4 linked regions of the Nothobranchius furzeri genome follow. The protein of the gene in region 2 purifies or fractionates together with the protein of the main gene of each other region. This does not show direct contact. Links are inferred from orthologs where the notes say so. Each region holds a gene or a part of one and is shown on either strand. Other genes may lie near its edges. The genes, in order: skila, trim33, smad3a and ssrp1a.

Region 1 (7,950 bases), on a different chromosome or scaffold from region 2:
GGTCTAGAGTGTGCCCCCTGGTGTGTGTGGGGCCAGAAACATGCTGGGTAAAGCTGAAGGAGTCCATAAGGCTGGAGAAATTCATGGCAAAGTGATCAGAGGGATCATCAACATGGATTTTAAAGTCACCAACAATCACCAGTCTGGACAGCTTCACAGTGGAGGATAGAAAGTCACTAAACTCCTGAAGGAAAGAACTGTTTGGACCAGGTGGACGATAGACCACAGCACAGTAGAACGGGTCCTTACGCCCGACTTTAATCAGCTGCAGTTCAAAGGAAGCAAAGTGACCAGAGGTTGTAGAGCTCAGTCTTTAGTTTGAGTAAAGATCCATTTGACATTGTTTTTTTACACTGGAATTTAAAGTAAAATACATATTTAATCCTTTTTTGTGGAATGGTTATATTATGACAGAATATGTCATATAATCATAAAATATTTCTTGGGAAGGGGTGGGGTGGGGATCATTAACAATGAGCAGTTTCCTGCTCCTTCATCCTGCTAGTTGAAAGTGGAATAACAACCATCATAAACAACCCTGATGCCACCAGCACAAAAAACAAGCTAACGCTAACATGAGCCCACAAATACTAAAATAAACCACAATGTAAAACATCTGCACTGAACATGATTACTTACAAGTCCAGTAGCAACAAAGCCAGGTCACCATCAGTCCCTGATTTTGTAGCCTCCTTTAGCTCCTTCAAACTAGCTTCGGCCGCGCCAATGTCTACTCCGGGTGTAGCTCTTTGCTTCACCTCCAAAGACATTACTCTCTTATTTTTACTTCCATGCTCCACCATGATACCAACAGAAAAAGCTAACTTATTATTTTTCTTCAACTGCTTCCAGGTGCAGCAGTAGCCTAGGGGGTAGAGCATGATGTCCAGTGATTGAAAGATTGCAGGTTTGATCCTAGCTCCCACCAGAGAATGCTGCTTTTGTTTCCTTTGGCAAGACACCTAACTCGTCTTGCCTGCTGGTGGTGGTCAGAGGGACCTATAGTGCCAGCATATGGCAGGCCTTGCCTCTGTCAGTGTGCCCCAGGGCAGCTGTGGCTACATTGTAGTTCCTCGTCACCTGTCACCTTAAAATGGGCGGGTGACTGATTGTGTTGCCATTTTACCTTCGTAGCTTTCTTGTCAGATTCAACAAAAATAACCAGAGTAGGAGTTGAGATGTCATCACACTCTCCGACATTTACCATAAAGCACCTTTTCAGGAGTGTCGATTCCTAAATTACGTTATTCCTTTTTGCTTTATGTTTCTTTATGAGAGCTGAAAGGTGAATGCTCAATAAAAGGAGTTTTTTTGTTTTGTTTTGTAAGAGCCAGACATTGAAAACATGACACATGGGTGCAAGATAAAACCAGAAACATCCTGCTGACACACATCACAGAGCAGAAAATCTTTGTAGTGTGTGCCTGAAGCCTCAGACTGCCACTTCTGTAAGCATCATTACCTCCAAATTACACATACATCCACTGAACAACTTAAGACACATTTCAATAACTCCCATTGATTGTAGACGAGATGTATGAAAACGACTAGAGAGGTGTCGGCCTCAAGGGTCCACTTAGTACTAAGTCCAATAACAGTTAGACAGACTCTGGGGCTAATGGAGAGGCTTATCAATGCACCAGTCTGCCACACTTTGTCCACAAGTCCCAGCTCTCCCACCTCTGTGCTCATCATCCTTCCACTTTTTGCGTTAAACCTCTGATGAACAATCAGTGCAGGTCACATTATTGCACATATGAGATTAATTTACTCCCCGCAGAACACAGAGTGATGTTATTACAGGAAAATCAATGTCCCTCTTGTTCTCTGGGGGGTGAACAGGGTGTATGCACATCTGCTCTCATAATACAACTGCTGACCTTGCTGTCAGTGAAGCCAGTGAGAGAGGCTGCGGCGAAACGGCCAACTGTGTTGTTTATCAAAGCTTTATCAAGCCTCTCTGCTCTCACCAACGTGTAACATCAGACTGTAGGTCAGCCAGCCGGCCAGGGTGCACTCCAGCTGAGAAAACAGCGGCGCATGTCGACAAAGGACGATAACCTCCCAAGATTGAGAAGATTTGGAATTAGTGTGATTTCTGTGAGCAGACTCAGAAAGTACTTGTGTTAAAGCTACTTACCCCATCACCAAAGGGGAAATGTCTGATCTATAATTAAAATAATCTGTTTTCTGTCATTCTTACTTGGATTTTATTAACTTATTTCATCTCCAAGAGCACAATAGACCTCCTGAATGACCTCTTGACCGTTTGCAGAGGACAGGTCTGTATGGTTGGGGGAAGGGAGCGCGCGGGGGGGGGCTTTTGGTCATTGAGTCTGTCCTCTTCTATTCTCTTGCTTTTCTGTGAACTCAGTGGGGAAGCCAACAAGATAAATAAAACAGCTGGCAGTTTGGGTGATGCTGCAGATATCCACCGCTCAAGGAAAATAATAATAATCAAGCAACAGAAAACTTAAGTGGTAACCATGTTACAATAAATATAATTAAATACTTTTAATATATAACTTTTTACTATTAAATGTATTGCTATGTTATATGTAAAGTATTAACATGAGTAAATAACTTTTTGAAAATAGTGCAAATAAAAAGAGGTGAAGGTCTGAAACCCAAATGATCTGTTACCATTTAATTATGCACATCAACATTATTATTGTTGTTGATTTAGGTTATTCCTTTTTTGCTTTCTGTTTCTTTATGAGTGCTGAAAGGTGAATGCTCAATAAAATGAGTTTTTTTGTTTGTTTTGTAAGAGCCAGACATTGAAAACGACACATGGGTGCAAGATATATATATTGTATAATTATTGTTATCTTAATGAAAGACAATTAAGTGATTATATATTAAATTATTATGTTGCACTTGCTACCTCACTAAATAACAGTAGTAGAGGAAGTAGGCCTACTTGATTTTTTTACTTACGTAAAAGTACAGACAAAGTAGTAAAAATTACATAGGTAAAAGTAGAATTGTCCAAGAAAATATTGACTTCAGTAAAAGTATTTTGAAAATGTACTTAAAAGTAAACAATGAAGGTATTCAACTAACATTTGAATATGAGTTGTGTGTTTGGAAGTGTGCTGCCTGTCGGACAAAATGTAATGGAGTCAAAGTAAAAAGTAGACCTCGAGAAAATTACAGTCATGGAAAAATTGTAATTAAGTACAATAATGAAATACTTGTACATAATGAAGTACTTTTACTTCGTAACTTTCCATCAAATAACAAGAACTGCCTAATGGTATTTATGTTTTAAAATCTTAAAGTACATAAGTCATAAATAATCTTAAAATGGGTTTTAAAAGTCAATTATATTAAGTGTATGTTACAAATTGTAACATTTTAATTTGTTTACATGATGATGAACAATTGTGTTAAAGAATTGCAGTGAGGACCAAATTTGAACCATTTCACGACCTGGAAAAAGTCCCCGCGCCACAATGTTGAGTCCCCTCTGACCCAGTTGCCCTGTTTCCCCGGCTCTGCTCTCGGCTCTACCTGCTGCTGGAGAAAAAAACCGTCCCAGACTGTGCGAGACAGGCAGACAGACAGACCTACAGACGAGAGACACCCCCGCATAGTTTCCGTCAGCCGGGTGACGTCTCCGCCTCTCAGCCCGTGTGCAGTGTGACGTTGCGGGCTGTAGTGTGGAGCTTCTAGCTGCATCTTGTTGACGCTCCGCCAGGCTTTTCCAGTGCTGAGAGGACTCCGAACGAGTGAGGACGACTGACACACTGTTCAGGCAAGTGTTAGCTGTTGGGTGGGATGGAAGGATTTTTTTTATTAACCGGGTAAATAAGAGTTCTTTTAGCGGATCTGATTTTGACATAAACGGTTGAAATCCTGTGTTTAGTCGCTTCCGACGGAGGGGGCGAAGCTAATCAGCTTTAGCCTGCCGTATCGCTCTCTATCATGGGTTAGCCTGCTGTAATATTAGCGCTTTCGGTCCGCAGGGTTAAACTGCTTATCGGTCGCTATGTTGGGTTAGCCTGCCCTAATAAATATAAGGGCTAATATTCATCGGTTTGGACGGGAACCGAGTCGGGTCAGTCCGCTTTAGTGGGAACTGGGTTAATTTAGCCTGTCTGTGCTCTGAGGAGGTTTACAGCAGTTTACACCGAGGAGACTGGGGGTGCGCTACCCATCGGGGTTTCACTGATTTACACTCACGTTGCACAGATTCTTACACCTTCTTTTTCTGAAGATCACAGATAAGAAAAAAGAGAAAGAAAAGCAGACTGCCCTGGTAATTTAGTTAAACATTTTCACGCTCAGACAGAATGCGGAGTGTTAAATGGTGCTTTTCCAACCGCTGGGGGGGGGGGGGGGGGGGGTATGGACACATCGCGGTCGGAAACCCCGCCGTGCCCTCACTAAATTGGCATGTGCGTAACGGACAAGCGCGGTGCCTTCCCAGACCAGACTGTAGTGTAGACAGTGAATGTCATTATCAGCGCTGTCTGCATACCTGCGCCGAGCCAGCAGAGGAGGAGGGGGAGCAGGAGCAGCGTAATACGCGGTGTCCTTGCAGCAAAAACGGTTCCAGACATGGGGGGTGACATTAAAGACGGACTTTACTCACGGTTTATTCTGTTAAGGAAAAGTCGCGCGCCTCGTTTTCTGTCTGGTACCAGCGGGATCCCAGCCGAAGGTGGCTCCCCCGAAGATCCTCACTTATTGGTCGGTGATTTGCCGTGTAGATTCGAGTCTACCCACGGTGGGGGTTTGCCATTAAAACGCCCTCACGCATCAACCTGCAAATTCAAGATTTTCTCCGCAGCTGCGTTTTTACCTGATTTCTGGGGGAAAAATAAACGGGATACTATTTTTTATGTCTTAAAAACACACACCTGCATCTTTTATGTTCATTTGCAAGACCGAAAAATTGCATTTAGAGCATTTCACCGTATGGAAATCCAAATTTCTCCAAGTTGAAATGGGTTAAAGCTGCCGTGTCTCGTGTCTTAGTGCAGCAGTGGCCACGGTCAACACTGCGTTTTAAATGATGATCAGGTTGCTGATGTATATATCAAATAAAGGGGTGAACGCTGCTTTTTCCGTAGTGCTGCTGCATGTCAAGCTGTGAGAGGACCAAAGAGGGGAGGCGGGGAGGGTTGACCGCTGGTAACGCTTTTATCATGTTCTTCATGGGGTTGATGGGTGAACAGACGAATGGGGGATGGCATGGTGTGGCTCTGGGAAGGACACTTTACATTTGCAAAGTGAAATGTTTCCCCCCCCCCCCCCCTGACCATTGTGTATTTGCCTTTCATTAACAATGTAATGAGAACCGGGTGGGTGGTGAATTTCAAATCCCAGCCAACCGGTTTGTTAAAATTCTCACTTTGTGCTTGAAACCTTAATTTGAATTTCCTCTTGGGTTCAATTGCAAGAGCTAAGAAAAGCCTCGTGTTTGTGTGAAGTATGGTAATTGCCATTTGGTTTATTTGGACCATAATAACAGCCTCTGAAGTCCCAAACAGGGAAGGCATAAAACCTAAAACACTGGTCATAACACCTTTCGATGACACTGGAATTTAAAGTTTTTGTCTCTTCTGCTTTCTAAATTGCTTCATTTTTCATGTTCAGGCAGCAGATCAGAACCTAGACAACCTAACCATCATGAAGACTTGCGTCATTTAAAAAAAGACTCCAGGGGGTGAGAAGCCAGAGGAAAACGAGAAACAGTCAGAAGAACAGGAGACAAGCGACTGTAACCCTGTGCTTGGACATGGCCAGCACCCAGACCAGTTTGAAAACTCCTTTCAAAGACTTGACCTCCTTCAAGGGCAACATGAAGCGTCTGTACAGAGAGCGAATGGAAGACGCACCCATCAAGAAGCGACTGATGGCCGAAATGAATTTGAAGCGGCGTGGTTTGGATCCCCTCACCAAAACTCCTAAAGTGAAGAGGGAGCAGATGGAGGATCTGCACCATGATGTTGACATGGATGTGGAGGGCCGGGCTGAAATGCATGTCATGGGCTCAGGTAAAGCTCTGGACCTGAGTCCTGGCCTCAAACACACACTGGCCCAGTTTACTCTCAGCAGCCAGAGCTCCCTCGGGGGCCCAGCTGCCTTCTCAGCCCGAACTGGCCATGAGCATTCTGCTGGTATGCCCCCCCTGCCCTCCCCTCCTGTGTTAGGAGGGGGCCCTCTACTGGTTCCATGTGACAGCTCAACTGAACTCACCCACTCGCTACTGGAAGGAGAGTCCATCTCCTGCTTTGTCGTTGGTGGGGAGAAAAGGCTGTGCCTGCCTCAGGTGCTCAACTCTGTGCTCCGTGACTTTTCGCTGCAGCAGATCAACACGGTGTGCGACGAGCTGTACGTTTACTGCTCTCGCTGCGACGCAGAGCAGCTGCACATCCTAAAGGTTCTGGGCATTCTACCGTTCAACGCGCCGTCCTGCGGCCTCATTACGCTGACTGATGCGCAGCGGCTGTGCAATGCTCTCCTGCGTCCCGGGGCAGCTTTGCCCGCCGATCCCAGCGGCAAGCTGTCGGTCCAGGGCCTGCTGAAGGAGAGCGAGGCCAGCTTCCAGGTGGAGCACCAGTGTCTGGGGAAGTGCCAAGGTCTCTTCGTGCCCCACTTCTACTCTCAGCCTGAGGCACCATGCATCCAGTGTGTCGAGTGCCAGCTGCTCTTTTCACCTCAGAAGTTTGTCATGCATTCACACAAGTCACCCGATAAGAGGACCTGCCACTGGGGCTTTGATTCAGCCAAGTGGCCATGCTATCTGCAACTTGCCAGGAAGTACCAGGGGACGCCCGAGGAACCCAAACTCAAGCAGCTCCTGGACGAGGTCAAAGAGAAGTTCCATTATCAACTGAAGAGGTCGCTAGACAAAGTAAGTTCACCTTTTAACGGTAACATTTGGTGTCAGCTGTTTGTGTTTCTGCATGTTTTCTATGCACAAAAATCTCAGTAGGCCTTTTTTAAGCCGTTTTCATTCTTTTTGATGGGTGGGAGACTACCTTATGGTTGGCATTTACATAAATCATTTATGACCTAGGGCAGGGCTATTCAATTCCAGGCCTCGAGGGCTGGTATCCAGCATGTTTTAGTGGTTTTTCTAGTCCAGCACACTAGGTTCAGTGGTTGAATCACCTGTGCAGCAGCTCACCAGGCTCTGCAGACGCCTGTTAATCACCTGCTGATTGAAATCAGGCGTGTTGAAGCAGCAATAAAACCAAAACATGCTGGATACCGGCCCTTGAGGCCCGGAATTGAATAGCCCTGACCTTGGGTGTGTCTGAAGCCGTGGACAAGTGGTGACATCTGCATCATCAGATCAGACACAGTTATAGATCAGCTGTCACGGCTGAGGAGGAAGTGCATCATTTGTTCCCTTAGGTCACCTGGAGGTCAGCGGGAATGACGCTCAGCTAAAGGCTAAAGTAGGAGGTTCTGAGAGACTCTAAAAGCAGTTACCTATTTAGTCATTTGTGTAGCGCTTAAAAAACAGAGTAAATTTTTGTGGAATTTGTCATTTTTCACACGTCGTTTTTGTTAATCAACCTGGAACAAAAAGGGTTCGTTGGAGGAAGAGCATTTCTAGATGTGGCAAAAGCCATTTTTCAGGAGTCCATCGTTCACCTGCGGGCAAACCTGAAATTGAAATTGCTTCATTGCAATAAAACCACTCATAACTGGAGCTTGAAATGCTACGGTCCCCCACAGTGGATGCTTTAGCTTTTTTTCTTCCTGCAGTGAGAAGAAAAATATTTCAATGTGAAAATGATGAAAACCTCAAGGCCAGAAAGTCAATAAAACAGTCAATGTTCGATTGGGGGGGTGGGGATGCTGTTCAGGATTTTAATTTTTTTCTGCCACTGAGTGTTTTATGATTCCTGACCTTCATTTGAGCTTCGTGCACCCCTGTCTTTATTGTTTTGATTATATTTTTGTCACTCCTGCATCCAGAATTTT
Region 2 (7,512 bases):
CAGCAGTTGCAACAATAATTTGCCCATGTTTTGTGCTTCATTTTCTTTCCAGCTGTAGCTCTGCAGGCAGAGGGGGAGCTGGAAGTGGAGCCTCTGCAGAGCAGGTTAAAGTGAAGAAGGAACCTGGTACAGAGGACAGCTACAGCTGTCCCTCGTCTTCTCTGAAGACTGAACGGGGAGCGGATGCTAGAAGGAGTGCCTGTATGGTATGAAAACAAAACGTTCATCTTTGGGAATAAAAGAATGAACAAAATTCAGGTTTAAGCATTGATATCTGTAATGTAAAATGTAGGGATGCTCCGATTTGATCACAAGATCAGAAATAAGGCCCGATCACGTAATTTTAAAAGGATCAAGAGGAAAACATTGGTGTTAACCTTGTAAAACAACAAACATGCAGTTTTTCCCCTACATAGGCTCAGGCATTGTGCTGCGCCTGAAATTCTAGCGCCACGGCTACATCATCAACCCCAACCCTTACCCCACTCTCACGGCATAACATGTTTCATAGGGATTGTTTGTTTCCCCCTCAGATGAGCAGTCCAGAGAACAGCCCCCTGGGAGCTGCATCTGCAGGCCACGACACTCTGAGGGTTCCTGGGGAACGCATTAAGACAGAACCTGAGCCAGACACGCCTTGTTCTGGACTAAATGGAGCCAGTACCATGACACCATCCACCTCTACAACCTCCACCAACACGTCAGCCACCAAGAACAGTTACAGTCAGTCAGAACTACCGCTCACAAATGGAAACGTAGACAAGAGCAGCAGCAGAGCATCAGAAGCAGCCGGGGGTTCTGGTGGGAAAGAAGACGATCCCAACGAGGACTGGTGTGCTGTCTGTATCAACGGTGGTAACCTGCTGTGCTGTGACCGCTGTCCTAAAGTGTTCCATATGAAATGCCACGTACCCACCATAAAAATCTTTCCAAAGTAAGTGACCAATAAAAACCACTTCATTTTTTTAGAATGAGAAATCATTTGAGGATCGCTAAAATATAAACCATTCTGAAGCTTTGTGTGGTGCTTGCTTGTCTCAGGGGCGACTTCCTCTGCACGTTTTGCCGAAGTATAGCCAACCCAGAAATCGAGTATTGTGATGAAAGCAGGAGACTCAAAGAGGATCAGAGCCTGACTGCTGAAGACCAAAGGGTCTGCACACCTAAACCTTCCTCAGAGAACGTCTTTGTGATGAGTTTACTGAGCTAATTCTCTCTTCCTCTGCCTACAGAAATGTGAACGGGTCCTGCTGTATGTTTTCTGTCATGAGCTGAGTGTGGGCTTTAGGGAACCGGTCCCTAGTTCTGTGAGTGCTCACACACGCACCATTCAGTCTGGTACACTACATCATGGCTCCTAAATTAAGCATTTTACTTCACTTGTATAATCCCAGAAATATGAATCTTTTTTTCTAATTGGTCCACATTATACATGATGACACATAAGGAGCATTAACTTGGTTTGAGTCCAAAAAGAGATAAGAAACTTATAAGATAAGCATCGTCTCATGCAGGAGATGGAACAGCACAGTCTAAATGACGATCATAGAAGGCAAGGCAAGGCGGCTTCATTTATAGAGCACATTTCAAACACAGAGGCAATTAAATGTGCTTTATAATTAGCAGGACCGTCCGTCCGTTCGTTCATTCATTCATTAGTTTGTCTGGAGCTTATCTGGAGTCAGGTTGCGGGGGCAGTAGCCTAAGACGAGAGGCCCAGACTTCCCTCTCCCCAGCCACTTGGGCCAGCTCCTCCGGGGGAATCCCAAGGTGTTCCCTGGCCAGGTGAGAGACATAGTCCCTCCACCATGTCCTGGATCTACCTTTAGGTCTCCTCCCGGTTGGACGTGCCCGGAAAACCTCACCAGGGAGGCGTCTAGGAGGCATCCTGACCAGATGCCTGAGCCACCTCAACTGGCTCCTCTCGATGTGGAGGAGCAGCGGCTCTACTCCGAGCCCCTCCCGAATGACAGAGTTTGTCACCCTATCTCTAAGGGAGAGCCCAGCCACTCTTCGGAGAAAACTCATTTTGGCCGCTTGTATCCGCGATCTCGTTCTTTCGGTCAACCACGACAGACCGGTACAACGCCCGCATCACTGCAGATGCAGCACCAATCCGCCTATCGATCTCACGCTCCAGTTTTCCCTCACTTGTGAACAAAACCCCGAGATACTTAAACTCCTCCACTTGGGGCAGGAGCTCATCCCTGACCCGGAGAAGGCATTCTACCCTTTTCCAAATCAAGACCATGGTCTCAGATTTAGAGGAGCTGATTCTCATCCCAGCTGCTTCACACTCGGCTGCGAACTGCTCCAGCGAAAGCTGAAGATCACGTTCTGATGAAGCCAAGAGGACCACATCATCTGCAAAAAGCAGAGACCTGATCCTCAGGCCACCAAAACGGATGCCCTCCACACCTTGGCTGCACCTAGAAATCTTGTCCATAAAGGTTATGAACAGAATCGGTGACAAAGGGCAGCCTTGGCGGAGTCCAACTCTCACTGGGAACGAGCCCGACTTACTGCTGGCAATACTGACCAAGCTCTGACACCGGTCATACAGGGACCTAACAGCCCGTATCAAAGGGCCTGGTACCCCATACTCCCGGAGTACCCCCCACAGGGCCCCCCAAGGGACGCGGTCAAACGCCTTCTCCAAATCCACAGAACACATGTAGACTGGTTGGCCAAATTCCCACGCACCCTCCAGGATCCCCCTCAGGGTATAGAGCTGGTCCAGTGTTCCACGGCCAGGACGAAAACCACATTGCTCCTCCTGAATCTGAGGTTCAACAATCTACAGACCCTCCTCTCCAGAACCCCTGAATTGACCTTACCAGGAAGGCTCAGGAGTGTGATCCCCCTGTAGTTGGAACACACCCTGTGGTCCCCCTTTTTAAACAAGGGGACCACCACCCCGGTCTGCCAGTCCAGTGGGACTGCCCCCGATGTCCGCGCGATATTGCAGAGCCACGTCGGTCAACACAGCCCCACAACATCCAGAGCCTTAAGCAACTCCGGGCGGATCTCATCCACCCCTGGAGCCTTGCCACAGAGGAGCTTTTTAACCACCTCAGTGACCTCAGCACCAGAGATTTGAGAGGCCAACCCAAAGTCCCCAGACTCTGCTTCCTCACTGGAAGACGTGTCGGTGGGATTGAGGAGGTCTTCGAAGTATTCTGCCCACCGATCCACGACGTCCTGAGTAGAGGTCAGCAGTACACCGTCCCCACTGCAGAAAGTGTTGGTAGCGCACTGCCCCCCCCCCCCCCCCCCCCCCCCCCCCGAGGTGCCGGATGGTGGACCAGAATGTCCTCAAAGCCGTACGGAACATGATATGAAAACATAAAAACACAAATTAAAATAGACACAGATAGAATTACAGTTTAGAGCTAAAGGAGAAGACAAAGTTACAGCGCAGATTACAGTGGAGATGACGCAGCATAAGAAACAATTCATTTAAAGGCTGATGGGTACATTAGGGTATTTAGTTTTAATTGAAACAACACTAGAGTTGGGGCAGATCTGAGGTCAAGGGGAAGCTGATTCCATATGATAGCAGCATAGTAACTAAATGCATCTCCGCCTTGTTTTGTTCTGATCCGTGGTTCTATCAGCTGATTGTTTCCAAGGGATCTCAGAGCCCTATTGGGTGTACCGTATATACAGTAATGAGAGCGAATATAATAAATAATCAGATAAATGAAACAGTCTCCTGATTTTTTCACTGTGCTTCTCTTCTATGGCGCCACTCTAAATGCTAACAGATTAATCTCAGTCAGTGTTTTAATGCTTTCAAGGACAAGTTTAACTGGCTGTTCACAGATCTACCAACTACTAGGCTTTAATTCCAGTTATCATCATCAATATTGTTATTAGCTCAATAATGCATTTATTAAATATCATTTTTCTGATTTATTACCATTTTATTTAAAATTGATTGGAAGAAAAACATTTCTAGTTACATTTCATTAAACATAATAAAACCTTATTATTTACGTTTTTGTTATTTCCATCTGAAATATTTATTGGTGTAACTTGACCCAGCTGTTTTTTCTTTTTCAATCCAGGTGCCCAACTACTACAAGATTATTAAGCAGCCCATGGATCTGAAAAGGGTGAAGAGGAAGCTGCAGCTGCGGAGCTCTCAGTATTACAAGTCCATACAAGAGTTTGTGCAAGATATGCGCCTCGTCTTCAAGAACTGTTCAACTTACAATGAGGTGAGCAGCATGTGTTTTCAGCCCGTTAGGGGAATGGTGTCCTCTTGCTGTGCATGCTGACCAAAGAGAAACTGATAGAAATGAGACAATGGATTCTGCTCTGAAGGGTGTTAGCTCTGCTGTTTTATTATCATAACAGAAGGAGTTCAATTAAACATCCTGGCTTTGAAACACATTCCTTAAAGCTGTTTCTGGTTGTTTGCTGTTGCATTTATTTTCTTACTAAGTAGCACTAACTTACTAGACTAAAGTAAGTAAGTAAAATCCTCACTCACTCAATCATGATGAGAAAATTATTAAATTATTGTACAATTTAAATTTATTTTTAAAGCAATTCTTGCACATATTTAAAAAAACAAATTATTTTTGTCAGTAAAAGAAAATAGAAAAGGTGCCTTAAAACTGAGGGTATAAAATTAAAGCAGTATTCTTGGAATTTAAATATAAAAGGAGGGAAGCAGGACTTGCTTCATTGGGTAAAGGTCTGAAAGGTGATGCAGAAGTCAGGCGATGCCTCAGGTACATAACCAATAGAGGTAACAGTCATTATCTCCACCTGTAAATAGCACAAGCGAATATTGAGAATTTTTAAAGACCAAGTTCACTGAGAAATGGGTAATACTTGTTCTCTTTGAAATGCGGCCAGTCACTCACATTTACTATGAAGGCTGAACGTGAACATAGGCGGCTTCTATCTCCTGCATTAGCTGCTGAAAGGAAATGGATGGGGAAACACTCGGACTAGAAAATCCTGACAAATCTATGTCACACTGTCAAATTAACATTCATGGACTCATCCATCTTGATATGCAACAGGGAATGCTGTTGTTAGTTTACCATCCAGGAAATGGCAGAGAACATCTCAGCTATTAGAGGCTAACTGTTAGCATAAGCAACTCCACCACCCAGCAGAGCTCCTCCAGGCATGTGTTATTTGTGGATGTAAAACATCCATGTTGCAGAGCAAACAGAATCTGGTAACGTGGTGTAGCTTTTAGCCAATCAGAGATGGGATTTCTGAATATCAATAGGGAGCCTAAGTCACTTCCGCATCATGGGTCCCCCGGAAGAACGAAAAAAATGAATGCACGTCAATGGGACTAAAAGCGCTATTTTCTAATTTTGCTTGTTTTGTGCCATGGATTTCACAATGTGCTTATTTTTGAACGGACACACACACACGATATTTTAGGTTTTGTGTGAAAATAAGTCCAGAACTAAAAATACGTTTCACGAAAGTGACGTCATCGAACTAGACACAGAGAAAACTCAGGGGAAATGGCTGTAAGTTCAGCAAACTTCCCACAGGAGGGAAGAACCACCCTAAATCTGGTCATTTGGTAAGTAGCAGCTACTTTGGGGAGAGGAGATTATGTGGTGACGTCACATATGCGCCGTGCCGATTTTTAGTTTGTAGTCATGCTAATTACAAACTTTTACAAGCTAATAAATGTCAAAGTACGTGACTGGCGTGGTCGAAACTCCCATCAATAGTTTTCATTTAAATTGCAGTACAACATATGTGCAATCCAGGGCGCAAGGCAAAGCGGATTAGAAAATAGCGTTTTTAGCCCTGTTGACTTGCATTCATTTTTTCGTTCTTCTGGGGGACCCATGGTGCGGAAGTGACTTAGGCTCCCTATAGGATGCCCAAGTCTCCTCCCTTTCTGGTCGGCACATGAAGGAATGGAAAAATCAATACAAGTCTTCGTCTTCGTCTTCCTCCGCTTATCCGGGTCCGGGTCGCGGGGGCAGCATACCAATTAGGGAGCTCCAGGCCGTCCTCTCCCCGGCCTTGTCCACCAGCTCCTCCGGCAGGACCCCAAGGCGTTCCCGGACCAGATTGGAGATGTAACCTCTCCAACGTGTCCTGGGTCGACCCGGGGGCCTTCTGCCTGCAGGACATGCCCGAAACACCTCCCCGGGGAGGCGTCCAGGAGGCATCCTGACCAGATGCCCAAACCACCTCAACTGGCTCCTTTCGATCCGGAGGAGCAGCGGTTCTACTCCGAGTCCCTCCCGAATGTCCGAGCTCCTCACCCTATCTCTAAGAATGAGCCCGGCCACCCTACGGAGGAAACTCATTTCAGCCGCTTGTATCCGCGATCTCGTTCTTTCGGTCATTACCCAAAGCTCATGACCATAGGTGAGGATTGGGACGTAGATCGACCGGTAAATCGAGAGCCTGGCTTTCTGGCTCAGCTCCCTCTTCCCCACGACAGATCGGCTCAGCGTCCGCATCACTGCAGACGCCGAACCAATCCGCCTGTCGATCTCCCGATCCCTCCTACCCTCACTCGTGAACAAGACCCCGAGATACTTAAACTCCTCCACTTGAGGTAGGACCTCTCCCCCGGCCCGGAGGTGGCAAGCCACCCTTTTCCGGTCGAGAACCATGGTCTCAGATTTGGAGGTGCTGATCCTCATCCCAGCCGCTTCACATTCGGCCGCGAACCTACCCAGCAAGAGCTGAAGGTCAGAGCTGGATGAAGCTAGGAGGACCACATCATCCGCAAAAAGCAGAGACGAGATTCTCCTGCCACCAAACTCGACACACTCCACACCACGGCTGCGTCTAGAAATTCTGTCCATAAAAGTGATGAACAGAACCGGTGACAAAGGGCAGCCCTGGCGGAGTCCAACCCTCACTGGGAACAGGTCCGACTTACTACCGGCTATGCGGACCAAACTCACGCTCCTCTGGTAAAGGGACTGAATGGCCCTTAACAGAAAGCCACCCACCCCATACTCCTGGAGCGTCCCCCACAGGGTGCCCCTGGGGACACGGTCATAAGCCTTCTCCAAATCCACAAAGCACATGTGGATTGGTTGGGCAAACTCCCATGCCCCCTCCATCACCCTTGCAAGGGTATAGAGCTGGTCCACAGTTCCACGGCCAGGACGAAAACCACATTGCTCCTCCTCTATCTGTGATTCAACTATCGATCGGACCCTCCTCTCCAGTACCTTGGCGTAGACCTTTCCAGGGAGGCTGAGGAGTGTGATCCCCTTATAGTTGGAACACACCCTCAGGTCACCCTTCTTAAAGATGGGGACCACCACCCCGGTCTGCCACTCCCTAGGAACTGCCCCCGATGACCACGCAATGTTGTAGAGACGTGTCAACCATGACAGCCCTACAACATCCATAGCCTTGAGATACCCAGGACAAACCTCATCCGCCCCCGGGGCTCCGCCGCTGTGTAGTTGTTTGACTACCTCAGCAACTTCTGCCCCCGAGATCGGACAGTCCATCCCTAGGCCTCCCAGCTCTGGTTCCTCCTCGGAA
Region 3 (8,103 bases), on a different chromosome or scaffold from region 2:
TGTTTAAACTAGAGTTTTTGTGACACCTGAAATTTATCACTTAGTGAGAGAAAACACATGTGAATGTTTGTGCTTCTGCTTATTTATTTTTTTACACATTATTTTGTCATTTAAATTAAATTATTGTCATGTTTAGACTGAAAGCTCATAGCCTCAAGGAATTTTTCGGGAAATAAACTGGATGTTGTCACAGAGCAGGATGTTTTTGATACTTTTCAATCACAAGGCAGATATGAATGGTTATCTGTGGTTGTTTTTATGCAAAATGTTGGAAAATGGAGATACAAGATTTGTGTCGGGTGATGACAAAGTTCCTAATTGTGGTAGAAAATAAACTAAAGGAAAATTAGGAATGTTATGATTAATATCTAGATTTTGCTTTCATTTAAATTCCATTTCACCGCACACATTTTGACTTGCAGGGCTAGAGAAAACACAGGTGTGTTAACGAGGACCACATGAGAAGTTCTGCTCGTTAGCAGCCCTCATTAACACACTTGTGTTTCACTATTGTTGTTGTTTAACCATTAAACCTCATACCAAGCAGCTTTCATGTGGATTCGTAGTCGACTTTTTGTTTTTTTTGGAGGTGTGGTTGACTGAAAAAACAGTTTTCAATTTTTATTTTTGATTATAATCGAACACTCTGTTTCTCATGCAGGCTGAATATGAAAACAGTCTCCTACACCTATCTCCTGCGTTAGCTTCTGATAGAAAATGCTAGGATTTGAAAGTCCTCACATATCTATGTCACACTCTGTGGTCTCGCCCATCTTGGCTCGTGCCCGCCCACAGGAAGGCTTTTTTTTTTTTTGCAGTGAGGAGAGAGAGCCGAAAGTGTCATGGTGATAGTGACTTTGCAAATTTGCAGAAAATGTTTTATTAGCCAATCAGAAGTGAGGTGTGTGCATATCATTAATAATAATGAGTAATCCTGCAGTTTTCAGCCCACCTGTTCACCAGCAATCTTCTGCATCTCAGAACAGGATTATCATAGTTTTTTAATTTTTAATTATTGATTTATTTCCCCGTTTCGTGAGAAAATTTGAACTGTCTTATCATCGAAAATGTTAAAACACATCTATTGTGTATTATAAAGCATGTGTGTTCACATATGTGGACATTAAGTTCTTGCACTATATTTTATTCTTTTCAACTTTTTAAAATTCACTTGACATTGACTTTAAGTTATTTTTCCCTTTCTTTTTTCAGAAGTTAGTCAAATATTAAATTAATTTATTCATTTAGTTTTGTTTTTTTTAATATTGTGTTTTTTCTTGTTGTTCATAGTTATGAGAGTGAACTAATCTGTAATGGCAAGGATTGTTTTTTCTCTTAAATCCCACAAAATACAAATTCGGGTCCTGAGAGGATAATTTTTATTTGGCTTTTAAAAAAGTTAAATTTTTTTTTTCAATGTACATTTCATTCAATTTATTAATTGCTAAAAAATGTTTAATCGTTTCACGGAGTGGAGTTCTGTAAGAGGTATCTCTAAAAATACTTTAACATCAGTTTGAAGATAATTAGGGTAAAAAATTGCAATGGATTATGTGTGATTGGTTCAAAACAAGCATGTTTTGTTTTTGCTGTAAAGCGGTCGTCTGTTTCCTTATCACATCTATCCAGCATGCTGGAGTTTTTATTTCTCTGTGACCTTTATTCTCTATTGGGACAAACACACATGCACACACTCCCACCCACCCACACACACACACACACACACACACAGGACTAAGTCCCCTGAGGTTCAAACTGGCACAATATCATTATCATCCATTGGATTGTGCGTGGTCACTGCTCATTCAGCCTTCCTGACGTGCCTTTTATGCTCAGTAATTCTTCTCACAGCCGCCCCCATCCTCCAGTTCCCTTAAACTCTGCCCCTCTCCCCCTCTTCTGCAGCCCATTTGTGACCCTTCCCCCCACCCTGCACCCCTATATCGCCTTGTCTGGATCTACACTCCTCCAAAACAACCCAGCTGGCCGGTCGTGTCCCTGGGGGTGTAAACAGGTGTCGAGAGGGCCGCTGGGCCTTTGTATATGACACATGGCAGCACGCTCCTCCAGGCTTCTGTTGCAACCTGCCAACACAGCACAGACAGAGAGAGTGGTGTGTATTCAGCTGGAGACTAGATTTATACTGCAGATGAGGGGCTGCTGGGGATTTGTGGTGCAAAATGTCCTACTTTTAAATCTTGTGTGAAATTATTATTTAACTTAGCTTTTTGGTTTTTTTTGGGGGGGGGGGGGGGCACTGAACTTTAATTCTTTAACACGACAAAGCAAAAATAACGTTAAAACAATGAGTTTATTTTTCCTAACTCAGCACATGTAGAGTGAACTTCTTTTGGCTGATATAAAAATAAACACTGGTCAACCAGAATAGATGAAAGGAAAGGCATTTGTCCTGCTGGACCTTAAGTATTTTTAGCACAAACTAAGCTCTGTGTGCTGTGGAGAGGGGCTGCTGGACACAAGTCAGTGCTCCTGTACACGCATACCAAAACCACAAGTCAATGCTACTATTTTAATAAGGCTATGATCTGAAAGCAGAGGCAATTGATCCGCATGCCTGATGATCACAAGTCCCATTTGTGCTCTTGGTACAGACATTATTCCTCTTTTCTGAGTGATAAAAACCCACAGAGGACCACCTTCTTCGTTGAAATGCATTTATGGCTACCCACTATCACTGTCTGAGCTCAGCTCTACTCCACACTCAGTCGTACATCTGGCACTTGACTCTTTGACATTCAGTGCATGAAGGAGGGGGTGTTTATGCATATGAGAGTGTGTGCATGTGCTTGACTATAGCTGTAATTTAAAGGCTGAACCAAGCAATAAACTAAATTGCCACCTTGAGGAGTAGCAGCACTCATCTGAAGGCCTAACAAGCCGAGGCAAGAAAGTGTGCAAACTCATGCATGCGTGCAGCTACTTCTATTACCTTCTGTCTTACAGCAGCTCCAGTGTTATTCAGTCGTGTGAAGGTAGAACAACCCAGAGAGCATTACTGGAAAGTTCTGTGTTAGAGATCTCAAGCCCCAGGTGTTTACACAACAAACACACACTGGACATATTTTACACTACACCTTAACCTTTAGACACTTGAGCATATGACGATTTCTAAAAACATAACATATGAGCAAAAAATGAATGTATTCTCCTGGTAAATCAGAAAAAAATGTTAGTGTTGAGTGGGAAGAAACAAAAATGTGATATTACAGTTTGAACTGTGTTACATAAAGTTAACTGAGATAAAGTCATTTAAATAAACATCAAAGCTTCTTTGTTCCTCTGAAGAAAAAAACATACATTTTTAAGTGCACTAGTGTGGACAAAAAATAAATAAACTGGTTGGTGTTACATAACTGAATCAAGTGCTGCGTATGACCGCTTTTATAGACCGCAGCAGTTTGCTAGCATGAGGAGAGGCAGTGATTGTGCAACATCAGCACGGCCCCTTTGGCCAGCTGCTGTGACAGAGCTGCTACAGGTCTGCAGCAGTCTGAAGCCTGAATAGAGTCTGAGCAGCAACTCCTGCATTTGCATCTGATGCAGACTTCAAGCAGATTTCAGCCGGCGGACTACACACCGCGGAGGGTTCTGAACTTCACAAAACTTTGCGCTTCGAGGATTAGAACAGTCAATAAAACACACCACTAGCGTTACTCCTTTATTTTTTAACGTTTTATTCATAGTTTTAAATCGTATTTTAATTCAGGTTGGAGTTATTTAAATAACATTTGCTTGAGTAGGTGCAGACGGACTAGTTGGTCTTGCGGAGCAGCACTAAATCCACAGCACCAAAGAATACCGGTGCACAATCCGCCGTTTACCTCCTCGAGCCAGGGTAAACGAGTTCGCTAAAACTGAGAAGTTTGGCCCTGGGATGCTCCTGTGTAGCTCTAGATAAAAAACAATAACTTTTTAGCGAAGACTTGCTCTCTTCGTCACTGCGTAGACCGCCACAAAGGTAGTCGTTTTCGTATAACGTCCAGAAGAAAAAAAACCCAGCAGACTTCTCGAGACAGGACGGACTTGACTGAACTCAAGATGTCAATTTTGCCTTTCACTCCCCCCATCGTCAAAAGACTTTTGGGCTGGAAGAAGGGAGAGCAGAACGGCCAGGAGGAGAAGTGGTGCGAAAAGGCGGTGAAAAGTCTAGTGAAGAAGCTGAAGAAGACGGGACAGCTGGATGAACTGGAGAAAGCCATCACCACGCAGAATATCAACACAAAATGCATCACCATACCGAGGTAAGGAGAGCTAGCAGGTTGGTTTGATGCTGACCGTAAAGTTAGCATCTCACGCGCTGTTTTATCCGTTTATTACAGCTTTATAACAAATTATACCAATCTGCCACTGCTTTTACTGTCTATTGCACGTTAAAGGCACCACTTCTTGTGTGAGAAGCAAATATTTCCAGATATTTTCTCGCGTTAATATTTCAAACTCAGTTATTTAGCGTTTATTAAACATCAAAGTTTTAGCTAAGGAAACAGTTCACCAGCTAATCTGTAAATTACGGCTCAAATGTATTATTGTCTGTTATCTATGTGTCATCATATTGCTATTTTGCACTTCAAGTGAATTGAAACAACTCCTAGCAGCTTGGTATGACCCAGATTATGTTGTCAAAAACACGTTTTAAGCATAACGAGCCAATAGCACACATGCAATGTGCACTGGTAGTTATATAACTTGGCCTTAATCTGGAACGTTTTCTAGCGTTGTTAGTGCGTAGGCGAGTCTAGATGGGCTCTCTATCTTCTCTCAATGCCTCTATACAGACATATATCAGCATTTTTATTTAATACAAGTAAATCCACTGCAGGTTACTATGTGTAACAGGTGCTTTCATAGCGTGGGCAGAATTGGAGGCAATGCAACAGCAAACACGAGAAAATATGTAAAAAAAAAACGCAAATAAAGGTGTTTATCATTTGACAAAATATATTAGAGACAAAAATGCTCTCATGGGATGAAAAGTTAACATTTAACACTCTAAATTAATTAATTCAAACGATCTCCTTGGAACAGTAAATAATTCAGCTGTGTTTGGTTTTCAGTGGTCAGATGAATAAATTATGAATAGTGGTTTGGCTTATTGATTTCATTTTTTTTCTCTGCAAGGAGGAGGGAAACATAGCTGTCAGCTGGATTAATAAATGCCATTTTTAGCTCTGACAATTCTAAAGGCTGTATTATTTAACCATCAGTGTGTGCACTTTGGGATGAAACAGTGCTTCACGATTACTGATGGCAACTTTTTCATTAGGTAACAAGTTGGTATTCACTGAACCAAGCAGGAGTAATGTGCAAACGGCCAAGAAGCAAACCGCTAATGAAAAATGCTTAAAAATTTTAAAAGATTTTACCATCTTAAGGTGGCAACGTGTAGTTTCCTGGTGCCAGGGGGCAGTACATACATTTCAGGGTAGTTTTACACCATATTGCTGTGACTGTCGCTAGTTAAAAAAAAAAAACATTACCGTAAATGTTGTTACCTGTGGAACAGAAAGCATGCAACCTTGGCGTGTCTCCTCAAACTTTGATTGTTCTTCAGGTATTTCCATAGAGAGAATGCAATGCAGATGCTAATTTTCTGGTGCTGTACTTTCCAGAGCTGCTCAGGGGTCCTGCGCTTGCCAATGATGTAGTGGTGGGCAGTATAAACTATATAAGGTAGAAACGATATAAAATTGGGTAATGATAGAGTTTTTGGCTCTATCATGGTAACACATGGTGTCAATAAATGTGCACTCTCCCTGACATTGGGACAACAGAATGGCAGTGACTGCAAGTATGGAGAGGGCAGAGGAGGAGGAGCATTCTACTTTTTGGACGTCTTTATTCTGCTGCAATATATTTGCCAAATGTGGATTTTTAAAAGCATGTCATTTTGACATATATTAACAGAGGAAAAAATACATCGCAATAAATATTGTTATTGCACATGCTTCAGATTATATCAGAATATATATTTTAGGCCATATTGCCCAGCCCTACGTCATCATACTACGAAAATACCGTTCAGCCAAATATATATTGCATCTCTTTTTCAATTCTGTTCTCTCACATAGGTTTTGGAAAAAGTTTAGCAGTTTTGTTATTAAATTATTGTTTCTCACTGCCAAGATATTTTTGAATGTGGTAACGTAACTTCTGTAGGTTGTACGCTTAGCCAATCATCTAGTGTGATATCATCGACAGGCACAAGCTTGCGAGCCCTCCAGAAGGAAACTTGGCATCTAATATGGCGTCCTCCAAAGATTTTTGACCTGCACACAATGCAGTTTACACTCAATTTTTATGGTTATATGGTACAATGCTGCCAATATTTTTCAACAACTGGACATCATTTAATTTATTTTCAACATTGTTTTGATGGATATTTACAGAGATTAATGGTATAAACTACACATTGCCTCTTTAAAGTAACTGATAATTGTATTTATTGTTGTTTGTAGCATCCTTTCTTTATATTTGTTAATCTGAGGGAGTTATTAATCTAGTTTTGACTTTTGTTCCAAGCAGTCACTTGATTTATTGCCAGCAAATTGGACACATTATACATTAGTCAAAATGATTATGAACTGTATCTGTAAATCAAAGTATTCTAAACATCAGAATCACTTTTAACTCCTCTGCACGTGTGATCTTGTAACTAATTTATTCTGGCCCCGCATCATCACAAGTTCAGCTTTTTTTTTTTTTTTTTTGTGCTGGCGCTGCTGTAATAAGTGAATTTCCCTACTGTGGGATCCACAAAGTCTATTCTATTCTATTTATTCACAGTGATTCTTCACAACTATTTCATATTGTTAGACCTTCAGTCTATTTTCTTGTGTTTTTTAATTATTGGTAAATAAGAAGCCCAAATCTTTTCTTATGACTTGCATGTGTGTGTCATTCAGATTTAATAGCATACTGTGTCAGATGAAATCTGAATCCCTAACAGGGCACTCCCACATTCTTATTGGCCACAAGTGTACATATAAAGCTACCACAAACCTGTGCCAGCATTCAGAGCTGAGCTCATCCAAAACGTTAAATAATGTCCGCTCTGGTCAAGGTTTAATATTTCCTACCACTAATGCGAGAGTGCATTAAAATGACCCCAGATCAGATCTGGCTGTCAGTGTGGTCCAGCAGTGTCCCTGGAGAGATGCTGTTTCTATTAATTCCCCAAGCTCTGGCTTGCTGACAGCAGCTGCCTGCATGTCCTGGCCTGTCTATGGGGAGGTCATCTCCAATATCTCTGAAGTGAACTTCTTATGAGGCTCAGTGCTGCTGCTTTTGATGCTGGTTTGCAGTGATGCTGAGTGCGGAAGGAAGCTGAGGCCTGGGTATTGATTGGGTCAATAGCTGCGTCAGGTTGTGGGATGGCAGAGCGTATCATGTATCGATATAGAGTACCACAATTAGAAAAGGAGGAAAAAAGACAACTTAAAGGGACGATAACTAGGAGATTTTAGAAAATCTCATAAAGGTTTCTCAAAAGTATAACCTTAGGATAATTTGAATACTTAGATCTAGCTTTGGTATCATTAATTTAAGAAGTACATTTTGTGTGTGTGTGTTGTGACTACTGATGATGCTGGTTTGTTTGTGTTTGGACTGATTTACTCAGAGCCCCCATCCAAAAAACTAAATAAATAGACATTTGTCACAGTCCTACATTGCAGTTTGAAGCTGAAACAAAATGTGTCTGTTGTTGACTAACTCTTGGAAAGGGCGGTTTCTGTACTTGCCTTTCAGGTCATTATGGTTTTGACAATGAGCATGTTTGCTTTTTATAGAACATAATAAGAAGAATTGAAAGCTGAGGCTGTATCCCAGTTTCAAGACTTAGTCACTCAACAACAAGCAATTTTGGCGTTGTGGTGTTGACCTAACTGTCCTCAGTTTCTTTCCCTTATGAAATCATTTCCTCTTCCTCTGAGCTGCAAACTTTGGTTGGTAACAAACACTGATTTGTGTAAAGTGTTACTCTACAGGGATCTAGGAGTATCTGATGGTTTTGGGCTGGACATGATGTGTGGTAGCTTGTAGTACTTGAGTGAAAGAAGATGACTAACAGATGCCTTTTCCTTC
Region 4 (7,512 bases), on a different chromosome or scaffold from region 2:
CAGACTGATGTTCTACCGCCGGCTCCTACCTTTTTCCTCTTGCTTTTGCTCTTGCGGTCTGAGTCAGAGGAACTGTCCTCGCTGGTCTCGATGAACTCTCGGCTCTTAAAGCTGTCGTTGCCTCCGCTTCGCTCCCTCTCTTTGTCTGCGCCCGCAGACTTCCTCTTCTTCTCATCCTTTTTGCCTCCAGATTTTTTACTTTCTCTAATGATCAGACGTGTGGAGGAAAGAAAGCAGATGTGTAACAACTCTGATGAAGAAACATAAAAACTGCTCCTGTGATGAGAGCCTTACTTCTTGGAGGTGGAGGTGGATCCTCCGCCGCTCTCCTTGAACTCCTTCTTAGCTTTGTCGTACTGCTTTTTTGCCTCTCCTGCCTTTGTTTCCCACTCCTGGAGGGCACATCCGTGTGAGTTTAATAAAACGCAGCAGAAATGTAAAAGCACCTCTGTGATGTTCTCACCTCCTTCTCGTCTTTGCCCAGCTGCCTCCACATCTCTCCGGCTTTCTTCGATATCTCGGTGATGGAGATGCCGGGGTTCTCCGCCTTGATTCGCTCTCGGCTGGAGTTGAGCCAAAGCATGTAGGCGCTCATCGGCCTCTTCGGCCCACCGGTGTCCTTCTGCTTCTTCTGTTTGAATTTAGGATATAAGAGTCAGCAGTCATGTCGAGTTCGATGGGTTAATGTACGGCACAGCCGGTTTATGTTAGATCGTGAAATCAGGCTTTTGAAGCCTAATGTTCTCCTCCTGCTGGTCTCTCACCTCTTTACGTGGTTTTCTCTCCTTTTTCTCCTTCACAACTTTGGCTTTTTTAGCCTTTTTCTTCTTTGCACCCTCATCTTCACTGTCCCCCCCCTCTTCGCTGCTGTCACTTGCAGAGGCGTTACTATCGTACCTGGAAGAAAGGAGGAACAGACGTTTACAACAACTACAGGTATCATCTCAAGCTTTAAAAATGAAGTTAAACCAAACTTACTCTTCTGCAATTTCATCATCTTCTTCTCCAGGGTTGAAGGACTCATCTAAAGAGAGAAGAAAACCCTCGTTCAACCATTACCATCCTCTCATCGCGAGCGGTTACATTTGAAACAGTCACTAACCGCTTCCACTTCCATCCGACTCGTCGCTGTCATTGCCCTCCTCTCTGATCTTGCCCTCAGCCTTCATCCTCTCCAGATAGGCATCGTGCTGGTCTTCGTCTGAGTCGCTGTACTCGTCGATTTTACCCTTCATGCCCTGGAAAGTACGCAGCACGGTCAGGAAAACACCACAAACACACAACGTCAGAGCTAACACGCTAGCCCAGACTGTGGTTAGATGTTTGAAGGTGTCGCGGCTTCACAAAGCCTGAGTTTTGCTCGTGGGACACCGTCCTCCCTATCCGTCTTGGATCCAGCATCAACCACAGTCAAAGGAAACACAACCAGTAACCAAAACAGGAGGTGTGACGTTTCAGCTCCAGATTGCACCGTTACTAAAACACTACAAGCAAGTTAGCTTTGACCTGTTTCATGTCTAAAATCACTTTGACTACAAACCCTCAAATGTTTTATGGTCCAGGACAATGAAACTAAGCATCACCGTTACCAAAAGGAAGACCTACACTCAAGTTAAATTTGAGTTAGTGAATTTCCCTTTTCCCTGTTTGAACCAGGCAATAGTAAGTTAACACTGGGGATGTTCTGACCAAAACTGGCCAATTTTCATAAAAAACAAACAAAAAACGTGTGCAAATTCCCATCAATGCCTTTATGTCCCATGCTGTGTTGCAGCCTGCGGAGACCCTGTGTGCAGCATCGCGATTCCCTACCCCCTTCTGTCGCACTGTGCATGTGTGCAGCAGCTGAAGTGCAAACACGCGTCTGCCAAACGGAGGGTGATGTAAACGTTGCATTTTGCAATGAAAAAGTATTGCATGAGGGAAGCTCTCTAAAATGCATCAACACAATGGACTTAATATGACTCTTAAAGAATAAACTCTTGCAGGGATGTGAATTTTCAAGGCTCACTGCAGAAATAGAATAAAAACCTGGAGCAGCTAACGGAGTCAGACGCAGCGGCACACACTATCACTCGTCTGTACGAGTGCGACAGTCGGCAGGCTGAGCATCGAACTTGAAAAATAAAGCCATCATAGATGAGCAGCCTGTCTCTGTGGTGGATGACACCAGGTCCAGCCCACTAGGACCCGCTACAGGTATTAAATAAATAAATACACATAATAATAATAATAATAATAATAAATCAAATAAAATCTCACAACACACAAAGATGTGAGATTTATCTTTTGCTTTTCGGCACTTTTTACTCAGAGCTTTTAATATTTGAAATCTGTTTTCCTTTTGACTGAATCGTTGCTGCTTCTTGCAGCACGTTGGTGTAGACTCAGTCATCCTGGATGTGATCAAGAGTTTTCTGGTTTTCTTGAAGTTTTGCCTCATGCTAGAGGCTCCATCAGTTCTAAACCTTGGGCTGTGCTTAGGAGGCTCAGAAACAAACACACGGATTAAGCTGCTTTTTAGTTTTTTCTCTTGAAAAAAGAACACATTTTTGCTCAATCTTTCCCAGATCATGTAGTCTGTCATAACTACATAGAAAAGTTATGGTCAATCCATGTGATCGGTGTTGGTGATCAACAGCAAAAACCTGCTGGAGCATCTCTACTCAACAGTTTTACCACGTACTACTTGTTTCTAAACACATTTCCTTTATTCAACTCCTCCTTCGCCCACTGCTTCGAGACTTAATCAGCCTTTGACCCAACTGGTCCCAAACAGGAACTGTCAGAAACTGCACTGGTTTTTTAACACTTCAACACGACACCATCCTCCCCACAGAATGAAAAGCTCATAAAGGATTCGACGTCATTTGTTGAAACGTCCTCCTGGAAATCACATTAAAACCCTTTTCCTCCTCCTACGTGCTCACTTCCATCTTCATGCATCAATATCCTCGTCTGCCAAGTAGACAGAAGCGACTGATAGGTGGACCGCCAGTACAGACACCAACAGGAAATGGGCAGCAGCTCCATTTGTCCTCAATGGACTCCTCTGCTGACCCCATCACCATGGCAACAGAAGACTTCTGCGAGTCTTCAGACTCACCACAACCTCGCACACATCAGCAGGACGTTACAGGCGGAGTGATTAGCACAGGAGAAGAAGTTAGGACCACAACACAGTCTGGAGTTAAAGAACAAAAGCCCCCAGGCAGCACGTTAGTCAGCAAAATGCAAACACACACAGTCAGTCATCAGTTACACAGCAGTCAACCCTCAGGTGCCATAATTACACATGAATCCCTTCAGAAAGATCAGGTTCAACACCAAACTGATCAGTAAATCATCAAACCCAAATGATTCTCCACAGATTGATCAGACCATGCAAACAGAATCACTCCAAGCCCACAAGAACCCAGAGCCTAATCCATACGGGACGCTCGAGACCATACCCACCTTCTTCTACAAAGAGTACAAGAACACAAGAGAAGGCACAAAGGATGAGAATGTGGGATGATGTCTGATAAAACTGCTGTCATGTTTTAACCCTCCCACTGTCCTAATGGGTGTGACCCCGCCAGGAAAGTTGACCAATGAGCAGGGTTGATGGTTCATCCCTTGGGTCCATGTGACAGGGGTGAGGAGTGAGCACCACCTCATCCCTGCCACATGGACCTCAAGGGATAAACCATCAATCCTGCTCAATGGTCAGCTTTCCTGGCGGGGTCACCCATGAAGACAGTGGGAGGGTTAAATCTACCAACGTGCCAATCAGGATGAGCGTTACCTCTTTGAACCCTCTGTTCTTGATGTTGAGCTTCTTGGCATTGACAAAGTCAAACAGCTTGCCGTACTCTTCTCTAAAGAAGAAGAAAAGCACATTAGGGTGGTTTGGTTGGTATGGAGATAGGGTTCCACACCAGAAACATGTTCCTCATAAAGGATCTGCTTCCTTTTTAAGACTGCCTCACCTCTCGATGCTGCTGAAGGTGTACTGGTTCCCTTGTTTGGTCTCAATCTCAAAGTCAAAGGAGCGCGTTGTGGTGGTCCCTCGGGCAAAGTTCACGCAAGAGATCTCCTCGAAGCGCAGGTGGACGGGGGGCTTGTGGACGTAGATGAATCCCCGCTCCAGGGGGTAAAGGAGGCCGGAGGAGGCCTTGTAGGAGCAGGTAATGCACTGAGCCCCAGAGTGACTGCGCAGATGGGATTTTGTGAAGATATAATCATTTTTAAAAAGTGTAAAAATGTGTGTTTGAGATGCCTACCCTTGGAAGTTTCCAGGTACAGTAATTTTCCTGTTGACCAAGGCCTTCATCACCCTGCTGACCATCTCATAGAGAGACCCCGACATGTTTTTACTGAGTTTGCCCTCAAAACGGCGCTCCACATCCTCCCTGTTACAAAACAGCAACAGAATGAATGTCTTCACCAGAACACGTTGTCAGGATTAGTGAGAAGTGAAGAAAAGCAGGAAAACTATTCCTTCAGACCTCTGGCTCCCCTCAGTGGACAATACCGTTATCACCCCCCCCCCCCCCCCCCACCCCCACACACACACACTCACTCACTCGCTCATGTTGAGGGTGAGGTTGATGTCCTCCTCTTTGGAGAAGAGCAGAATGAGAAAGTGGTAGCGAGTCTGACCCTGCTTGATGGGAGGATCCAGACTGATCTGTGATGTCACAAAAAAAACAAAGAGATGCTGAGCGAGGAACGTCAGCTGACCTAAAAGCAAAAAACACAAAGATGTAGACTGACCACAAAGAACATCTGCCTCTGATCTTTGTGTGGTAGCAGGAAGAGCCGGAGGACGGTGGTGTAGGGAATCTTGTAGTCAAACGTTTTCCCGTGAAGGTGAAGGAACGTCGGGTAGATGCGAATGTCGTATCTGAAAGAAGTCCAAATACAAATTCAGCTTTTGTCTCTAATAGGCCACAGCCCAGTGAGAAGCACGCTGAAGAGTAGACAAATCCTTTAAACCACCAGGACTTCTAATGATCTGAATCATGAGATTAGATGGTATTGTAGTCCTGGAACAACCTCATACCTTCCTCTGGGTGTGAGACACTGCAGCTCCTTGAAGATGCACACAGCATCACCAGTGGCCTGGATCACGTCAGCCTTGGACAACACATTCTGAGCAAACGCCTGAAGGAAAACAAAAAATGCCACAACGTTAAAAAAAAAGGCAAAACAAAAAATGTCATGAGTAGAAATGTCCCTTTCTCACATCCACAGGGTCCTGTCGTTCGTCGGCTTGGCTGGGCGGGACGTAGAAGCGGACCTCCATGAGGGAAACTTCCGTGTCGTCGTTCTGGTGAAACTCCAACGTGACTTCGTTCTTTCCCGTGGCACACTGGGACACGTTGGACAGAGGAATCTCAAACGCTGCATTGTCATTGATGTCAAATGAAAGCAGAGGTCCTGTGAAGAGCAGAAGAACAAAACTGTGTGAGTCACCGGGTTCTCAGAAATCTCTCCTTGTTTTTAGGACGTGAGTAGATTATTTAAGGATTTCTGTGCTGGATCTTGTTTTACCTGAGAACTTCGCCGTCCCCCAGTTCCAGCCTTTCACACACATGTCCTTCTCCGTCAGCTCCACCTTGTAGTTAGCTTTGAAAAATTCTGAGATCTTTTCAAAGTCCTGGTGGATGAAGGTGGAGGAGCAAAAAGAGGACAGAACTTTTAGGTTGGATTTATAAACAAGTAGTCAGGAGAAGGTAGGGCTCAGAGATAGAGAGGCAGAAAAAAAAAGAGTAAAAGTACAAACGCTGCATGAGTCAAAGCCTAAAAAGAAGCTGTGGCGGTGGAAAATTAATCAGAACACAGTCGTAGGTCAGCTGCTAGGGAGTACAGGAGTTGAATGTAATCCATCCAGCCCCTCCACACAGGCCCTGACAATCAGATCGTTTATTTATCCTGCAGGTCCGCCGCAGCTTACAACTGGAGAGGACTCACAACCAACGACAACCACACACACCCCTACATTCGCAATAGTACAAACACATATGGAACTGATTGTGGCGTGCAAATGCAAGGGCAGAATGAGACTGGAAACTCATGTACGCACCTGGATTTCTGCCATTTCATAAGGTTATTGAAGCCAATATATGAATATATGAGAGAGAGAGAGAGAGAGAGTGTGTGAGAGGGTGAGAGTTTGTTTAATCAGCTTGTTTGTTGACCTGGACTATGGAGTTGTTTAGACAGGATAATGTGTGTGAACGGATGTAAAAACATACCATCAGTTTGTTTTGTGGAGCATGTTTTATACTAACACACACACACACACACACACACACACACACACACACACACACACACACACACACACACACACACACACACACACACACACACACACACACACACACACACACACACACACACACACACACACACAGTGATTTGTCCTACATTTATCAGGAATTAAAAGTTTTCTTTAACTATTTTGCTGCTTCAGCTAAGTTACCATTAATAGTGAAATCATTAGGAAACGTAGTCTATATACTGGAGATTATTTCTAAGTTTTGGATATTTTTGGGTGTTGAAAAATGAAACTTTTGACTCAAATCTAAAAAAAAATAAATGTTGTTTTTCTTTAAAAACAAAAACAAATAGCCTGATTTTACAAGTGTTTTGCTCTTTGAAATGTCCAACAGCTTTTACTGGTTCTGAATTTCCTTAGTCTGATTATTCATCAACACAGCTGTCAAACTGGGAGAACATGAAGGATATCTGAAGCCAAAGCAGTGATGAGGGTAAAACTCCAGCTGTGGTAAGGGAACCCAACCCCACTGAGATACTTCAGACTCACCGTGTAAATATCTATGATCTGGCTACGTTTTAAAAACCATCACTGTTGCTCTGAAGCGACTCAGGACCTTTCCTGTTTGGCACAAAGCTACAGAGCCCCGGCTGATCCAACATCTGGCTGGTTCTGGTGGATCTCACAGATGCACAATCAGTGTAGGAAGGTGGGAGCCTGGAGGCAGGATCCTCACATGTTCCAGAGTTCTGGCTAAATTAGGAAGTTTGATCTCTAACAATGTTAGAAGAGCATTTTCCCACAAACAGAACAGAGAATCTGAAATCCTCTCGCTGGTCTAAGGCTGAGCCTTGAACAAGTAAACACCTCCGGATGCTCTCAAATACTCAGGCAGGGATTCACATCTTCCTCAAGGACAATTTATTAGACCAGATGAATCAAAATGTCAGCCTTCTGCCAGTTCTCCATTACCGTCGCTAACTGGAGGATAATAAACAATGACTTCACAGCCTGGGCTTTGGGACGAGAGGATCCATCTCCCCTCATAAATAAGCTGATTAACCCCCAGAGACACACTCCTCAGGTTAAACACACACCTCCATCCCTGTATCTCACTAGTGTGTTGATTTTTCCTCTGCGCTCAGAGGAAATTTAAAAAAAATGCAATAATACAAATTTCTCTTGGTCTGTTTTGGGAGCCAATTTGTTTTAGTGGGCTGATATAAACACGGGCTCAGAAGAGC

Evidence for each region.
Region 1: the proteins of trim33 (region 2) and skila purify together in Homo sapiens (affinity purification with western blotting; 4 studies listed by BioGRID and IntAct, with this or other methods). This does not show direct contact. The link is inferred for Nothobranchius furzeri from reciprocal best matches to the Homo sapiens genes TRIM33 and SKIL.
Region 3: the proteins of trim33 (region 2) and smad3a purify together in Homo sapiens (affinity purification with western blotting; 7 studies listed by BioGRID and IntAct, with this or other methods). This does not show direct contact. The link is inferred for Nothobranchius furzeri from reciprocal best matches to the Homo sapiens genes TRIM33 and SMAD3.
Region 4: the proteins of trim33 (region 2) and ssrp1a purify together in Homo sapiens (affinity purification with mass spectrometry; 3 studies listed by BioGRID and IntAct, with this or other methods). This does not show direct contact. The link is inferred for Nothobranchius furzeri from reciprocal best matches to the Homo sapiens genes TRIM33 and SSRP1.

The regions. Positions count from the first base shown.
Region 1 is NC_091751.1:45,625,911-45,633,860, forward strand, and holds the start of skila (ski-like protein), read left to right. Parts: upstream 1-3,627; 5' UTR 3,628-3,764; intron 3,765-5,611; 5' UTR 5,612-5,749; coding exon 5,750-6,868; intron 6,869-7,950. UniProt on the Homo sapiens protein: May have regulatory role in cell division or differentiation in response to extracellular signals.
Region 2 is NC_091755.1:51,913,760-51,921,271, reverse strand, and holds part of trim33 (E3 ubiquitin-protein ligase TRIM33), read left to right. Parts: intron 1-52; coding exon 53-206; intron 207-533; coding exon 534-934; intron 935-1,041; coding exon 1,042-1,153; intron 1,154-1,232; coding exon 1,233-1,307; intron 1,308-4,070; coding exon 4,071-4,223; intron 4,224-7,512. UniProt on the Homo sapiens protein: Acts as an E3 ubiquitin-protein ligase. Promotes SMAD4 ubiquitination, nuclear exclusion and degradation via the ubiquitin proteasome pathway. According to PubMed:16751102, does not promote a decrease in the level of endogenous SMAD4.
Region 3 is NC_091749.1:43,499,646-43,507,748, forward strand, and holds the start of smad3a (mothers against decapentaplegic homolog 3a), read left to right. Parts: upstream 1-3,833; 5' UTR 3,834-4,059; coding exon 4,060-4,262; intron 4,263-8,103. UniProt on the Homo sapiens protein: Receptor-regulated SMAD (R-SMAD) that is an intracellular signal transducer and transcriptional modulator activated by TGF-beta (transforming growth factor) and activin type 1 receptor kinases.
Region 4 is NC_091741.1:91,660,257-91,667,768, reverse strand, and holds part of ssrp1a (FACT complex subunit SSRP1a), read right to left. Parts: intron 5,645-7,512; coding exon 5,539-5,644; intron 5,425-5,538; coding exon 5,231-5,424; intron 5,149-5,230; coding exon 5,048-5,148; intron 4,889-5,047; coding exon 4,759-4,888; intron 4,673-4,758; coding exon 4,569-4,672; intron 4,395-4,568; coding exon 4,266-4,394; intron 4,194-4,265; coding exon 3,972-4,193; intron 3,861-3,971; coding exon 3,788-3,860; intron 1,239-3,787; coding exon 1,103-1,238; intron 1,025-1,102; coding exon 979-1,024; intron 898-978; coding exon 765-897; intron 632-764; coding exon 464-631; intron 393-463; coding exon 295-392; intron 205-294; coding exon 30-204; intron 1-29. UniProt on the Homo sapiens protein: Component of the FACT complex, a general chromatin factor that acts to reorganize nucleosomes. The FACT complex is involved in multiple processes that require DNA as a template such as mRNA elongation, DNA replication and DNA repair.